4 linked regions of the Cricetulus griseus genome follow. The protein of the gene in region 3 interacts with the protein of the main gene of each other region in a pairwise test. Links are inferred from orthologs where the notes say so. Each region holds a gene or a part of one and is shown on either strand. Other genes may lie near its edges.

Region 1 (4,038 bases), about 26 Mb from region 3:
CTGGTTTTTCAGAACAGGGTTTCTATGCATAGCCATGGCTGTCCTGGAACTTGCTCTGCAAATCAGGCTGGCCTCAACTCCACAGAGATCTGCCAGCCTTTGCCTCAGAAGTGCTGGGATTAAAGGTGTGCACCATCAAACCCAGTGACCATAAAATAAATCTTTTGAAAATTACTTTCAGTAATAATAATAACAACAATAAAAAGGTAACAATACCATTCAGTATATGATAGAAAATACAAATTTTGTTGAAAGAGCTCTTCAGTTGTGTGTGGTCTGGGGTTGATTTTTCTACAAGACAGCAGAAGTGTCTTGAAGATCATGTGGCTGAAAAATCTGAAACATTTTGAGGTTTTCTACGCCCAAGCCTGTCACATTTACCTGGTACTACCACTGTCATCCTTATCCCACCTCCAAATCACTGTTGCTCCTGTTTGGAAAGTCCTCCCACTGTACCTTAGAACCATGTAGATCACACCTTAATCTCAAGTATTACCTTGTCAGTAGTCTCCCATGGCTACCTTGTAACTCTCTTATCTCATCATGTTTTATTTAACATGTCATTTACTCTGGATTTATTGCAGTTCTCTTAAGAGTTTAGCCCAGTGCCTGACTTACAGGAAGCATTCAGTAAATGATGAACAGTCACCTGAATATGTCAGCACGGTGAGTATAACACAGAATGGGACAGGACATGCATAGACCTTACTCTGGTGTGTATGTTACTGTTCATGGGACATGCAAGAGGGAGTTCCAAGAGAGTCTAGAGGTGGGAAAACAGCCTGTGGCTGCCTCAGATACCTTGTTTTGACCAGTAGGTGGGTGGGACAGAGAGAGTGTGGAAGTCAGGGCTGGGAGCCTGGTTATCTGTGACTGAGATACTTCAGCAGCCTATAGTGAAGGCATTGCCGTAACCAGCTGGTGAGACAGATCATAGCATAGACTCAAGAATCCCTCAGACAGAGTCCAGAGTATAGAAGTCCAGCTGCAGGATGCCTGCTAGCACAGAACCGAGTCCAGTTCTCCCCACTACACTGGTGATGAAGAGGCAGGAGGGACCAGGCCTGTGTCCACTAGCCCTGCACTCTGGAACAGGGAGGTATAAATCCCAAGGCAGCCTAGGTGACACACTGAAGTCCTGTCTAAAAAGGTGAAAAGAGAGAGATTAGCAGGTAATGCCATTTGCCCTGCAAGCCTGAGTTCAACTCCCTGGAACCCACATTCAAGGTGGAAGAAGAGAATGAGTTGGGTTTGGCTGGCCCACATTTTTTTTCTTTTTTCCTTTTTCTTTTTTCTTTCTTTCTTTCTTTTTTTTTGTTTTTTTGGTTTTTTGAGACAGAGTTCCTGCTTTGGAACCTGTCCTGACACTCACTCTGTAAACCAGGTTGGCCTAGAACTCACAGAGATCTGCCTGCCTCTGCCTCCCGAGTGCTGAGATTAAAGGCCTGTGCCACTACCCCCAACCAGCTGGCTCACACCTTTAATCCCTGGGAGGCAGAAAAAGGTGGATCTCTATGAATTCCAGGCCAGCCAGGGCCATATAGAGAGACCTTGCCTCAAAAAAAAGAGACATACAGAGAGAATGGACTCCACAAAGTTGTCCTCTAGCCTCCACATGAACACCATGGCATGCACCCGTCCCAAACAATAATAAATAATATTTAAGAGAATTATTCCTTTCAAAAAAAAGGGGGGGAGGTCAGGAGGGCCTCTGAGTCAATAAGGAAGAAACCTAACTAAGGTATCAGGAGAGGGAAAGGCCAAAAAAATAAAAAAATAAAAAAATAAACCTCCTTGGGCAAAACTTGGAGCAGAGGCAGGCAAGTGGCCCCTCAGAGCTCTAAGAGTCCCATCACGATGACAATACGAAGTCAGGGCAGGTCTCACCAGGCCAACAGTCCCTCAACCAACTCAGCTCTCATGCTGGGCCAATGGCAGCTCTGGTTCCCTTGAAGTGAATCAGGCGGCCTTCTTGAGAGCTAGGGTGCTTGCAGCAAGACACAGCCTTCAAACCAAACCTCTATAAGGGAATTCCCGGGGAGCAAAGACACCATAGAGGGCTAACTGCGGTATCGATGCCCTCGCCTCCACCTGAACCCCCAAGTAAGGACCAGGAAGAAAGGAGGGCTTAGGGGGTCAGATAGCTTCGCTCTGTCTCTCGAGTCTGGGGCAAGCCAATACACACCTCTCTTCGGCACCCGTAATAATTAACCCTCCTTGCTTCAAGCCTCCGGCACTGGCTCATCCAGGAACCCAAAGAAGCCCAAACACTTTTCACAGGCTGGTCTACATTCCTCTCCTAACCACAATTCATGAGGCACAGCCTCCAGGCGAGGGCACTTGAAGCCTTAAGAGGCTCGAGAGTGTGCTTTACTGAACTCCAAACCCACAGGAAGCACAGGAAAGTCCCTTCCTTCACTGACCTGTCAGAATGAAGACTGTCGGTCGATCTACCTGAACAACAGGTTGCAAGAACTACCTGTGCTGTTAGGTTTGACAAAAAACCCTCCGCGGGCCGCCTCGCTGGCGCCCCTCCTGCAGGCCCCTCACGACCCATTCCTCTGCCCCGCAGGACCAGCTCCGGGCCGCAGAGACCGCAGCGCCGGCTCACCCGCCATGCCCCGCCCCACCGCTCCGCGCCGGGCCTCGCCCCGACTGCCCCTACGTTCCCATACAGGACTGACCCTCACTTACAACTGCCGGCTGTCTCATCTGGAGCCCGCCTAGCCGCTTCCCAGACCCTGCCCGGCCGACCCTGGGGCCCAGCGCTGCTCCAGGCTCCACGGGGGCGGGCCCCGCGCCCATCCTCGCCATGGCAACGCGACACTTCCGGTCCGAGGTGTCCGGAGCGGAAGCCGCGGTGCCGGGTGGGAGTCCTGGGCAGAGCCGTTCTACAAGGGCGGAGCCTAAAGAGCGCCATCCAGAAGCCGGGCCAGCCCCGGTAGATGGGTTGAGTCTGTGCGAGGATTTTCCGTCCTCTGTTCTGTGGCACAAACATCCTGACGTCTCGGGTGGGATGGGAAGGGCAAGTGTTCAGGTGTTCCCGGAAGGGTCATCTCTGTCCTGGTCTTTGAAAGAAGGGTTGGAGTCTTCCCTTCATTGTTGGTCAAAGGAGGGAGCAGCGTGTCCCAGAGGATGGACAGCAGTTTGGATGATGGTTGGGCCCTAGGACACTGTGGTCGGGGAGAAGCAGCCAGGATGAGGACCCTTGAATGTCAGACCAAGGAGCCAGGCTTTAGCCTGGAAGCAGGGCTGAGTAGGGCGGAGGCCAGCGGTATCTGTCTGGTGGGACATAGGAACCCTCAGCTAGAGTCCTGAGAACGGAAAGCAGAGGGGCAGGAGGTGATAGGATTCCAGGGGAAGGCAGACGAGGACTGAAAGAAGAGTCTGGTATAAGACCACAACCCAGGCATGGGTAGGACAATTAGGAGAAGTGAAGTCCCACTGTATTTACCCTCCATGTGTGCCCGACCCCCACCCCCACCCTGCTCCCTCCTGCACTCATGACTGTGCCTTCCTTGGTACCAGCAAGGGTCTCGGTCAGTCCTTTGATGGTATAATGGGGAGGGGCTGCGCAGGAAAAGGTGAATTCCCAAAGTGTTCAGTGTTGATGTAGACAGATCTGGGACCATTGACTCTGGTACCAACCTCTGCTGTCAGTGCCATGATTCTGACCCTCATTGCAAACCTGCCCAGTGTAGTATCCAGGAGAACTTGGTTAACAATTAGTACATAGATGGTGACTGAGCCCAAGGGTAGAGCCAGCAGTTAGATGGCCAAGGAAGAGGTAAGGGCCCACATGGGCTACTGTAACGTACTCCTGGAAAAAGTCACTTAAATCTCTGCCCTCCCCTTGTTTTGGGGGACAGGCTGTATGCCTTTTTGGTCTGAGAAGTCATCCCTCAGCCCATCCACCCATCTGCCCCCACCTCCCCAGTCTAGACCTGGGTTGCAGACCCCCTACCTAGGGCATGACTTCTTCTTGACTACTTCATCTTGAACTCCTGGAAATTTCCCATCCCTCTCAGGGTAATTTGG
Region 2 (4,126 bases), on a different chromosome or scaffold from region 3:
AGGCAGATGCAGGAGGATCTCTATGAGTCCAAGGCCAGCATGATTTACATAGTGAGTTCCAGCACAGCCAGAGGTACAGAGAGAGACCCTACCTAAAACAAGAACAATAAAACAACAACAACAACAAAATAAAAATGAAACCACTAACTTTACAGGTAAATGGATGTAACTAGAAAAGGTCCTATCAAGTAACCCAGACCTAGAAAGAGAAATAACACGTGTCCTTTCTCATTGGAGGCTTCTAGCTCAACATCTTCAAATATGAATACCTACCTTGGAGTAACTGCAGAAACTGGGTAGGAGAGGGGCTTTGGGGAGCAGTAGAGAGAGGAACAGCGAGGTGCACATGATGATGGAGTGAGGGATGGGAAAAAAGAGCAAGGTACAAGTGATAATGGAGAAGCAGGATAAATGAACAGAATGGATGTCTGAAAGTATCAGAAGGGATCCTATTATTTACCATCTTCCTAAAAAAGCCTATAATAAACATAAGTCTATGTATAAATATACACACACAGTTTAAAATCTGGGCAGACAATGCTCCATCCAAGAACCAAAGAATACCTAACAAAAATCTAAGACCAGGCACAAGAAGACCTCTTCTGAGTTTTTGGCCAGGGCAGTGCTGGAGACTCCCAAACCACACAGGCTATTACTATTGCCTCTGGTGGCACTCCAGAGGTAGAAGGTAAGTCCCTATTGCTGAAGACACTAAGTACTTCAGACACAGGCCTCTGAGCTGGAACTGACCTAAATGTCCCTTCTCTGAAGACTGGCTTTCATGGTATCATAAGGCACCAGGCAAGCTTCCCAAGGAGGGAAGCAACCAACAGTCCTACCCAGCTATGATGACACCTATGAAGCACAAAGACTACATGCATGGCATGATAACTCTAAGGGGGCAGTGGTGGCACACATATCCTAGTGGTAACCAATAGCTCTCTAACTGGACTTAAGACTCACTCATCAAGAGGGAAACTATGTCTGACACTGGAAACTACTAAGGGCTGGTGAAGAGCCTACAACCACCACTTTCCTAAACTGGCCTAACCCCTTACCACATTCTAAATGTTCAGCCTTATACACACAGATAAGTGTAGCCTTCACCTCTCATCGAGGAAACTTCTCTTGGCAACAGATGGAGACCATTAAAAAAAAACACAACCAATCAAAATGCAGAGTTATGGAGCCAAGTCCTAATGGATTCTACAAAATAACTCTCAAACCTAAGGCTCGGGGAACATTGCGGAAGAGGAAATGGAAAGACTGTGAGAGACAGAGGATCAGGGAGCTTGCTATGAGACTGTGTTACCTAATATCAGGAGCCACACCCATAGAGTCTCACTAATGTGACTGCCTAAATATGAGCTAAACAAGGCCAAATAGACACACCAAAGTGGTCAAGACCTCAACCCTACAGGAAACTAAGGAATGCAGAAAGCAGAGAAATAGTCTTCCCCAGAGAAGAGCACACCAATTGGTTAGCCAATGCCAAATAGTAAGCCCTGACAAGTAACATTATACACACTGAACACATTATATTTATATATTTAAGAATATACATATGTAATATTTACACAATAATTAATTTTAAAAAAGGAGGCCATGAATTTGAAAGCTAAAGGAGGGAACATATGGAAGGGTTTGGAGGAAAAAAAGGGAAAGCAGAAATGATATAATTATAATCTCAATAATAATAATGATGATGATGACTCCAGATGAGGAAATTCTGGCATGGAACAGACTACCAAAGAACAATAATTGTAAAGAGGAAAGAGCTAGCTTGGGAAAATGAGGACAGTTTGCTCTTATTTTTAAAAGCTGAGGGCTTTGGGCATGTTTATAGGCTAAGTACCTGAAGTAGGTAACTGTGGGAATAATGGCTAGGAAAAGATGCCTGCTAAGGTTTGGGGTGATGGCCAGTGGGTTTTCAGGAAGGTGACAGGATCAGCTATAGTCAAAACAGAACCACATCTATTCTTTTTTTGTTTGGGCTTTTGTTTGTTTGTTTGTTTGTTTGGGTTTTTTTGAGACGAGTGTTTCTCTGTGTAGCCCTGGCTGTCCTGGAACCCTCTCGGCAGACCAAGATAGCCTCTAACTCAGAGATCATCTGCCTCTGCTTCCCGAGGGCTTGCCACATCTATTTCATTATACAGATCTCATCTACTGGTTGTTCACTATGTTTTAAAGTCACAGTGAATTTCCAGTCACTCAAGATAATGGTGGGGATATATGTATAGACTACCTCTACTTTCAGTCACAACTGTAAACTCACCTGAATTAACTCTATAAGTCTCAGCCAAAATTCTGTATATGTTAAATAAAGTGCCACTCGGTTTTTGCTTTTTTAAAACCTCTTTCGGGTCGTCCAAACAATCCTTGGACACCCGCACTCTATCCCGGCTAAATGACTACACCAAACCAGGATGTCCTGGAATGCGAGCCAACAACGTACCTGTACGCGTTGTACTTGTGAATGGCCTGGCTCACGTTCTTCTCAAAGTTGGCGAGTTCTGAGAAGACAACAAAGAGTTCGAGTGAACAAGCACGCAGCGGGGAACTGCGGTCACGGGAAGGGGGTGTGGGTGGGTCCTGCCGGGACTGACGCAGCCGGCACGGACGCTGCGGTTGCCACCAGGGGAGACAGCAGCGAGGCCCGGCTGAGGAGTGGCACCGCAGGGCGTCCCGGGACTCACCTACGAGCATGTCGGTGATGTCGCTGTTGAGCGTCTCCTGCGGCGCCTTGCGTTTGCTCATGGCGCCGGGGTCCCGTACCTGGGAGCTGCCGGTGGGACAATGGCGGCCCTGACAGCGCGCAGCGTGGTGACGTCACGCGCCAGGCGACGGGGCGGGGCGGGGCTTAGGCGCCTGGGGAGTAGCAGGGAATCCCCGGCCGGTTTGGGAGCCGGGAGGTCAGAATTAGCCTTTAGTGGGTTAACCTGAGATCACGTCTGCTCGCCTGGTCGGAGAGCAGTGCGATTTAGAGCCTGAGATGCAGAAGGCGGTGGACGTTGGCCGCTGTGGGCAATAGCTGTGGAACGCATGGCATGGACTTTCTGTGTGGAGTGCCAGCGCCAGGTCGGCTGGCTGTCAGACTCCAAGAGGGGCTCTGTGCTCTTGGGCAGCGGGTAAAACAGGGAATGAAATACGCCAACCAAAACTTTTTAAGCACGCCTGTCAAACAACGGCTAGAGATGTGTTTTGTTTTAAATACCCATGCCTTTTGTCGGAGAGGCTAAAGGTATGAAAAGGTCACAAGAATTGTTTGACCAAGCTGATCGGCAATGGAGCCCTCATACCATATGGCTTATATGTGAGACCCTTACGATGTGCTTGAATTGAAATATAGCACCTGAGCTATTTATAAGTGTACCTCATGGGGTTCATATTAACTGCAACTGCAGCAACTGATTGAGTATAAAGTTAAATTGTTATTATGATACATACTAGTGTAGGTAAATCTGAAGAGTATGAAAGAATAAAGGAAAATTAAAATCAATGGTAGTTTTGCCATCCAACTGAGCCATTTAATATTTTGGAACACACACTTTTCTATTCCAGTCCTAACTTTTAATTTTTCCATTATTGTTGTTGCTTGTTATTAGTTTTTGTTTTGTTCTGGGATGGGATGCCTCTATGTAGTCCAGACTGTCCTTTAACTATGTAGCTTACTCAGGCTGGCCTCAAAGTCAGAGTGCTGGGATAAGTATGCACCACCAGGCCTATCAATGCATTGTTATTCTAATAATGAAGAAATGCTTTAGATAAATGACTTACTTTTATTAGCAAAGATAGGGTGCTGCTTTTGGGTGTGGGATGTACAGTAAAGACAAGTCAAGTCTTGTGCACATTTCCATGACAGGTAGTGAGAAAGTGTCCTAAAAACAGGTCAAGAATATGAGTATGATTCACTGTGAGAGTGCATGCTTAGCAGAAATGAGGCTCTCAGCACTGCACACCCACAACACAGCCGGAATAAATAAAGCAAGGAAATAGGACAGCCCTTGGGAAGTGAGACAGGGGCTAGTTAGAGCACGGGTTCTCAACCTGTGGTTTTTGAGCCCTTTGAGGGTCAAACGATCCTTTCACAAGGGTCAACTAAGACCATCAGGAAAACACAAACTAC
Region 3 (4,312 bases):
TCAGTAATGCCTTCAGAGGATGAAGCGGGAGTTTGCAGGGAACTATAGGAAGCTTTTGGGAAAATGAAGCACCACATGCAAAGGCATGTATTAGGACCTGCAACAGCTAGGTGCCTAGAGAAGATGGAAATCAGAGGTTCAAGAGAGAAGTATGGAATGAAGGGCAGTGCTCAGGCTATATATACCCAAAGGTTACAGTTGCAAGGTGAAAGGTTTGTAATAGAATTCAAAATTTTGGAGTTTTATTCAAAAGCAAACAGTTTGTTTTGAACAAATACTCGATACTAGGTTTGCTTTTGATGGGTAGTAAATTTGGAAATGTGAAGCATGGATCAATGATGAGATTGGTGGAAGCAATAATTGCTTTTGTATATATGATCTAGACCAAAGGTTATCTTGTCATGAAACCCATCCATGTTCTCAGTCAGTCTTCCTGATATCCTACCTCTCTATCTTTGAAACACTCAGTTTGCAGGACTTCATTATATAATGGAAGAGTAGACACCTATCAGGTGCTTGAATGCTTGCTGGGGGAATATATTTAATCATCTCTATAAGTATTACTCTCCTCAATCTGTCTGCACAAAGGAGTATGCCATCATACCTGGCACTGCCTCTGCTTGGAATACACCCAGAAGCTGTGACCAAAAAAAAAAAAAAAAAAAAAAAAAAAAAGACTTGGCCTAAGGCAGGCTGTGTCCCTCAAAGTTCTCTAGTACTTTGGTATCAGTTGGTATCCCAAACAGCTAGGTCAGCCTTTTCTTCTATTCTTTGCTTTTTATTTCTGTCTTACCAAAATGATGTATACACAGAGCTACAAAATAAATTCATCAGGTGAGGAAAATACTGAAGTCACTCATGTGCTAAGTTCCTTGCTGAATTAAAAAAAAACTGATCATGTTTACAATTTGAGCATTAATTCTTGATGCTCTTATGTTTCCATTTGGTTTCAATATTTTATTGACTGAATATTCATGTAATATGTAAATATCAAACATATTTTTCCTTCAGACAATTCATAAGTATAGACCTACTATAAATGCCTCCTAATAGACATTTATTGCTTATTTAGGACTTTAAAAATAGTATTTAAAACTTTTCTTCAGCACTTTAAAGTCACGTATATTTAATGATCTTCTCAATTATTAAGTAATTCTACAGGGTAAAAACTGTTACTTTACAGAAACAAAATACTTTGATAAGCAGATCTGGAACTTCTACAAATGTCCACTGAGGAGTACTACTTCAAAATTGTCTGACCTTTAACAAAACAACCAGTGATTCACTTATCCTAGCTGTTCTCCCACACATCCTATAAAAATTAAACACACACTGCTGTGTAATGGGCAGCATTTCCACTGTTATAAACCCTTAATGTGGCATTGCTGTCACAATGCTTTAAGCCTTAGCAATCATCAACAATAAGATAACAATAACAATTGTAGTCACCTGGAGGGAACTCATTACCTGAACTTCTAATCAGAAGCTCTGCCAGACAGAACCACCACTATATGAGCTCCAGAGAAGAAGCAACAAACTTTCAGAATCAGGACTCCCAAGGGGATCCATAGAGTGGTCACACAGACTTCCTTCCTATCCCTTGACTAATTCCTAGCATCTATGTCAATTATCTCACTATCCATTTATCTCAAATATCAGGCAGCACAATGAAAGAACTAAACACAGGAGGAAAACCAAGCATTAGGAATAAAAGAATTATTAAGCATCCCTCTTTTGTGAGGACAGGTTTAAGATATTACCTATGTAATCTAATGCATTTCTCTGATACACAGACACAGGACCAAAGAGGAGGCAAAAAGTTAGTTGGGGAAAATCTTCAACAATGGTTGGTAAGCATCTATCAGTGGGTTTTAGTAAAAGGCTAGTTTAGTTTAAAAACAGAATGCATTTTACCCAGAGGCTTTTTTAAAATCACTTTTCATAAAAGTGATTTAGATCCCAGCCCTAAAGATTTCCAACTAGCATAAAGAAAAATGAAGCCATTTGGGGAAACCATTGCTTAAATATGTTCCCCTATGTTTTGAGGCGTTTAAAAAGCATATTTTCATAATGCCTAAGAAGTTCGCCCCTGACAAATTAATTGTGCTTTATGTAAAAGGATGAACCGGGGAGATTGCAAGGACCCTAAACAAACACACAGCAGATAACTTAAAAATATAAAAATATCAGAAGAAAACACTCCGGAAGAGGACCGGGTTGTCTTCTGGGAACCCCGCTTTGCTGGTTTTGCCAAAACCAATGACTACACCACATCCCTAACAAGTGGCTGCTGCCCCATCGGTGTCACCACCCCACCCCGCTGTGCCCCAGGGTTAAAAACTGTAAAATCCTCGCTGGGCGAGATCCGGCGAAGACCCTTAGGTGTGAGGCCCGGCACGCCCGGATGACCACCAGGGCTTCCCAGCGGCCCCGATCGCGATCAGCCACGCCGACCACGCCGCTTTTGTGTGGACCGGAGCGGGAACACGGGGTCCTGCGGTCGCCCGGAGCTGTCCGGGCCGTCCCCGGCTTGGTCTTAGATCCGGCCTCCCAGCCGTGGCCCTCAGCGCCGCCTCACCTGCATGCCGGGAGCCCCGGGATCGACCCCCGTGTCCAGGACGGCGATGAGCACCCCGCGCCCGTCATACTCCGGGTAGCGGCACAGGAAGGAGGCGGCCCCGGTCTCTTTTTTCGGCAGAAGACCGTGGAAAGGGAAGGGCTCCTCAGTTGCGGCGGTGGCCATGGACCCGAGCGGGAGGACGAAGGAGGAAGAGGCAAACTGCCAGAATGCTCGCGGACCGGCAGCGCGAGGACACCGGGCCGCCGCGGGCCTGAGGCGGGGGAAAGGGCGGTGCCAGGCCAAAAGCACCCAATCGCATGTAGTTACAGATGCTCAGCCAATCATGTTTCGCAACGTAAGCAAACGGCGCCTCTACAAGGCGCTTGATAGGAGAGTTGCCCGGGCTGCAGCGCAGGGGTGGAGTCTACGCTGGGGCTGAGGACTCTGTGCTGGAGCCAGGTTCTTAAAGGGACTGTGTTTGGGGTGCGCAGACAGCCGGACTTTCTCCCAAGCTCTCACTGTTTGTGAGAAGCCTTGAGAGGGACAGGCCGCCCGCCTGAGCCGCGGGATCCCCGCCACGCGAATGTTGGCCCTGGAAAGTCAGGTTCAGAGGTCTCAGATTTGGCCGGGGAGTCTCTGTGTCCCCCGCGTTCTGGGGGTGAGGTGGATGAATGGAGTGGGGAGAGGCAGCCATTTAGTCAACAGGAAGAGGGGTGTGGGCTGTTCTGTCCCCAGTGTTTCTGAAACAAAGCATGGGACCGAAATGGGTCCCTGCTGTCTTCATGGCCTACTCGTGGCATCCAGGATTCCTTAAAGTATCTGCCTGCTTTCCTCCATCGAAGTTCCTGTTGTCTCCTTCAGGCTCAACACTGTTATTGAGCCATAGTTTGCATTTTTCTCATTACAATGTCCAGTGATGGTGACCAACTTTGGCGTTCTGTGCTTCCTAAATGAGCTGACTGTGCCTATGTCTCCCAGGGTAATCTTAATTGCCCCATTGACAATCTTATGAGACCCTCTCACAGCAATGTTTTTACATGCATTAGACGAAACCTATAGGACTATACAAGAGGTAAACTTAAAATAGCTTCTAAAACCCAATTTCTGTTGATAGCTTCACATGTAAATAATTATGCATGTGCTTTGTTTTGATTAAATAACAAGAGCCAGCGTCAAGTCTCACAAAGTATTCAAAAGTCTACTGTGATATCTAAATCGGGAAGCAAGTGTAAATGACATTTGAATATATCCAAACTACACAGATTAGTTTAACTGGTAACAAAGCAGCAGTGTCTAGTTGTTGCCTACACTCATAATTAGGAAGAAACAATTTCAGAGGTGAAAATAATTTTTCCTATGCAACATGGGCCCTTTGCATTTCTGTGGACTCCAGTTTAAGAGGCAGATGAGTGGAATACCTTATAGGCCAGTTTTCCAACCACAGCACTCCCAGTGACTCCTGGAACTTTGCTCTAGTGTCTGAAGTGATTCCTGCTGATTCCCTTTGTTTTTCATTCTGTAAGGGAAGAAGAGTTTGCCCTTGGTGCTGAGGGAAAGGGAGCAAGGTGATTCATTACCTTTAGGACAGAACTGGAAAGCACTTGAGTACTTGAACAGTACAGGAAAGAGAATGACAGACTCTCCAGGGACTTTCAGTATTGAGCATGCAGTGGCAGAATGAACTGACTTGCAGCTTCCATGAGCCCTGGCCCCACCACTTCATTTCACACAGAGGAAATGACGCTGAAGGCC
Region 4 (4,064 bases), on a different chromosome or scaffold from region 3:
CTGTTAAGTTGGTAAACAATTTACGTGCCGTTAAATTTCAAAGTAAAACAGATGGGAATGTGCAGGGTCCAAGATGAAAAATCTCCACGAGGCTGAAGCAGATGTTGAGAAAGGGGGCCACGATAGGAGACTGATCACAGGCTGCTCAGAGATACCAGGAGAACCACAAGTGTAAAAGTCATTTACAATCTCCATTTCATTTAACCCATGGGACTTTTTATGTTAGGTACTTACATTTCTCCAGATTGGGGAGGGAATGAGCAGGTTAAACACTAGAAACGTATCTGACTGTGGACCTGAGATTGGGACATTCCCTCTCACCTCTTGATGGACATAGACATCCCTGCAGAATCTTCTATCTAGTAACCATATCAGTATGCAAACACCCCATGTGGATAAGGAATCATATTGCTTATGCTTTCTTCGTGAAAACACACGCGGCACCTACTTCCTGGTCTCTGGGCTGAGATCAACTGTGAAATGGACATAATCAGTATTTTACTTCCACCCCCCCCCCAAATGGCCAGCAAGTGGATACATATGTGTGTGGTTTTATTCCTGCATACTATTACTCTATCAATACATACTGCATTTGTATTAGTGAATGCAATCCTTCACATTAAAATAAGGATAGTATCAAACCAGGTTAGTAGCACACATCTTTAATCACAATACTTGGTAGGCAGAGGCAGGTGGATCTCTGTGAGTTCGAGGCCCACCTAGTTCACTGATCAGACAGGTCTACACAGTAAGATCCTGTCTCAAAAGAAATTACATTAATAATAAGGATAAAAATTTGACCTCCGTGGGCACTAGGCACGCATGCAGTTCACAGACATATGTGCAGGTAAAACACCCATACACATAAAATAAAATAAATTTTAAAAAAATTTAATATAAAACCTAATGGCAGTGTGGTTTAAAATGAACATGTCTCCTCCTTTCTGTTTTTTGTTTGTTTGTTTTGTTTTTGAGACCAATGTTTCCTCCTGCCTCAGGCTCCTGAATGCTGCGATTACAGGTGTGTGCCAACCCAGCATCTGTTTGTTTTGCTCCAGCAGCTTGTGATGGGAATTTTCACCAAATGACCTATTTTCACTTTATTTATTCTGCTTTTACACAGCTATTTTTCTGGGATTGAAGCATTCCTTCCTGAAGGAGGAGAAAGGCTAAGGTTCAGGAAACTGAAGAAACTGACAAGATTCTGGAAGCTAAATAAATTTACCGATGTTTAAGATGCCCAGGAAGCTCAGAGAGTTGCAAGATTCACACACACCCCACACCGCCCCAACCCCTCACTTCCGAAGTTACAGGAGCAGAAGCAACTGTGGGGGGGAGAGAGGGGGGGGGGGGCGGGAGGGCGTCTGTGCAGTGGAGCTCCCCTCCAGGTCTCTGGGAAGGGCTACAGGTAGGAAGGATTAGGGGAGGAGACTCCAGCACAGTCAAACGGAACTCGTCGTCTTTGCCAGGGAGGATTGCTTTCTAGTGTGGCTGCCCTAAGGCCACCCATGCTTCTGCTCCTAGCTCCCCCCTCACTGTTCTGAAAGTTGGCCGAATAAACCCATTGGTTCCCCCCAGAGTGAACTTGTCTGGAATTGCTTCTAGGGTTGTCCTTTGGGCTGTAGGAGGTCTCCCCCAGGAAAGGGATTTTAGCAACATCTCAGGTAAATGTTGCACACTATCGGTCATGATCCCGTCCACCACTTCGGCAGTCTGCGTACGGGTAATTCCTCCTGAGGCTAATAGAGAATTATACTCTGTTCGCCAGTGATATGGAATGAACAAGATAAGTCAACTTGTTCATTTTCCAAAAAGACAACAGATCTCACTTTTAAAAGCAATGTGCTAAGGGCATTGCACCCAGGGCATGGCCAATGAAGTAAACAAAACTTCAGCTTTTCAGAAAATGCTATGCAGCAGCCTCCTCTGACAGGGAGCTTGGAGCTTGGAGACCCACTCTCTGAGTCGGGTAACTATAGCTTTGGGCTTCACACAGAGAAGCTAGGGTTGCTAGCCCGAAGTAGGGTTGCAGAAAGCCACGCCTCTGTAGGTTCCTGAACCACTAGAACCAAGCAGACTTGAGCGAGCTGTGAGGTTGACAGCGGACATAAGGAAGGCCGGAGCCAGCTGCTCATTGGCAGGTCCTTCTAGGGAGGAGAGCCCCGACCCAGACCCGCCACACCCCCTGACCCGGTGCTGTTACCTGATGGCGTTAACCGGAGGGTTGCAGAGGCGGATCATCGCCAGGGAGTGAGGCAGCCTGAGATACTCAGCCATTTTCTCAAGGTATCCTGCACCTCTGATGTCTGGGACAGCCGGGAGTTCTTTTCTGGGCCGCTCCGAGAGGAGGGGCACGCGCTGGACCAATGGGAGTCGCCGCCACCGCCTCCTGCCCCTTGCACCACATGCTCCCCAATGCTGGCTGCGCTCCAGGGAAGGGTAGTCCTCCTAGGCTAGCAGACAGAATGTCGAAAGGCATGCTGAGCTGCTGGGTCTCACAACTGGAGTCAAACACGTGTTCCGAAACCAATCATCTGCCCCGGCACGAAGCCCCGAGTGCCCGGTCTGCCTGTTCCTCTCTGGTTCTGTCCCCGTCTAAGGGCTGGGATTTCTCATACTTCATCCATGAACTGCACACCTATTATGAGCTGGACGTAGGCTGGATACTGACAATAAGCCATGCCTTGTTTCTTCCCTCTCAAAGCTCAGCCTGGACAGGGTCCTTCCGATGTGCATGTTTTTCATGGTTGCCAAAGCCCACCAAGTAGCCAGAAGACAGTGTACAGGTGGACAAGAAACACACACACACACACACACACACACACACACACACACGCACGCACGCACGCACGCACGCACACACACACACACACATACACACACACACACACGTAAATCTTCACTGATGTTTCCCAAGTTTTAACAAGGTCGAAAGATTATTTCCAGACATGTTCTTTACTTCTTGAAATTAAGAAAGGGTTTAGTTAGTAGAAAAATCCTGAGTGCCCTGGAAGCCCTGGTAACAAGTTGCGTTCAGAGGCATGGGAGCCCCCACATGTCAAGGACAGCCCATCACCCAAAGCACTCCTTCAGGTGTCAGCGATGACAACAGCCTCATGGGAGCAAGCGGCTTCAGACAAACGTCGGGAATCTCTATCTACTACCTCTCAAACCATGCCTAATCTGTAGACTAACTAGTCCCCAAACTCTCCTAGTGTGTTCTGTTGGAGAGAGTCTGCATGGCCAGCCCAGTTCTCCCCGCCTACAGGAGCAGTAGCTTCAGCTTTGTCCCCCTTCAGATGCTGGTAACTAGGAGAACACACTCGGCCACAGTATCCTAGGAACTTGAACAGGTAGAGTTCAAGGTTTAATAGCACTGACTGGCCTTATTGCACCCCTCCGCCTTGGAGCAGGGGAAGATAAGCATATTTGGAGCCAGCTTGTGACACTTTGTCCTCTTCATCTTGTAGGAATCAGTCACTGGCCATCGTGTCTCTACATTTTTTATTTTAGTTGAGCCCAGAGCTTTCTGCTGTGGCTCCCACAGTGGGATCTGGGTGTAAGCTTCTATGTAAATCTAATATACTGCTTGGGTGTTTAGAGTTGGCGACTCAACAGGGACAGGACCTATGTGAGGCAAGTGAGACCTTCAAGGGACAAAGTTCAAAGGGCAGTTACTATCAGGTTCACCCAGTGCTATGCCTCAACAACAGGATCACCCACAGTCCTATCAATTAGTCCCTTTGTAAATGTAGCACATTGAGAGACCATCGGATACAGCTGGGTGGTAGCATGTTGATTTTTCTTTTCCTGCTAGTACAAAACTGTATGCATGGGTTCCATATTTGCTGAGTCCATGGATGTGTAATTTGCTAGTCCATGGATGAGTAACTGTGTTGCTGTTTGAAGACTGCTTGACTATTTGATAGTCTTTTGATTATTGGTTTGATCTGCCATATCCTATTATTTTACTTGTCTTATGAAGTGCTTGGCTACTTCACAGGATCTCATTCCTCTTGGGTAAGCACTGCACACTATCTGCATGTCGCCCTCTGCTTAAGTAC

What was found.
Region 1: the proteins of Tpp2 (region 3) and Ppp1r16a interact in binary tests that used the Homo sapiens proteins (3 or more experiments, as listed by UniProt). The two-hybrid records come from large-scale screens. The link is inferred for Cricetulus griseus from reciprocal best matches to the Homo sapiens genes TPP2 and PPP1R16A.
Region 2: the proteins of Tpp2 (region 3) and Polb interact in binary tests that used the Homo sapiens proteins (3 or more experiments, as listed by UniProt). The two-hybrid records come from large-scale screens. The link is inferred for Cricetulus griseus from reciprocal best matches to the Homo sapiens genes TPP2 and POLB.
Region 4: the proteins of Tpp2 (region 3) and Ehhadh interact in binary tests that used the Homo sapiens proteins (3 or more experiments, as listed by UniProt). The two-hybrid records come from large-scale screens. The link is inferred for Cricetulus griseus from reciprocal best matches to the Homo sapiens genes TPP2 and EHHADH.

Annotation. Positions count from the first base shown.
Region 1 is NC_048595.1:373,948,820-373,952,857, reverse strand, and holds the start of Ppp1r16a (protein phosphatase 1 regulatory subunit 16A), read right to left. Parts: upstream 2,834-4,038; 5' UTR 2,695-2,833; exon of another isoform or gene 2,685-2,694; intron 2,561-2,684; exon of another isoform or gene 2,424-2,560; intron 2,334-2,423; exon of another isoform or gene 2,186-2,333; intron 1-2,185. UniProt on the Homo sapiens protein: Inhibits protein phosphatase 1 activity toward phosphorylase, myosin light chain and myosin substrates.
Region 2 is NW_023276807.1:61,041,891-61,046,016, reverse strand, and holds the start of Polb (DNA polymerase beta), read right to left. Parts: upstream 2,856-4,126; 5' UTR 2,758-2,855; coding exon 2,697-2,757; intron 2,514-2,696; coding exon 2,456-2,513; intron 1-2,455.
Region 3 is NC_048595.1:400,372,552-400,376,863, reverse strand, and holds the start of Tpp2 (tripeptidyl-peptidase 2), read right to left. Parts: upstream 2,838-4,312; 5' UTR 2,744-2,837; coding exon 2,579-2,743; intron 1-2,578. UniProt on the Homo sapiens protein: Cytosolic tripeptidyl-peptidase that releases N-terminal tripeptides from polypeptides and is a component of the proteolytic cascade acting downstream of the 26S proteasome in the ubiquitin-proteasome pathway.
Region 4 is NC_048597.1:67,141,402-67,145,465, reverse strand, and holds the start of Ehhadh (peroxisomal bifunctional enzyme), read right to left. Parts: upstream 2,837-4,064; 5' UTR 2,278-2,836; coding exon 2,204-2,277; intron 1-2,203. UniProt on the Homo sapiens protein: Peroxisomal trifunctional enzyme possessing 2-enoyl-CoA hydratase, 3-hydroxyacyl-CoA dehydrogenase, and delta 3, delta 2-enoyl-CoA isomerase activities. Catalyzes two of the four reactions of the long chain fatty acids peroxisomal beta-oxidation pathway.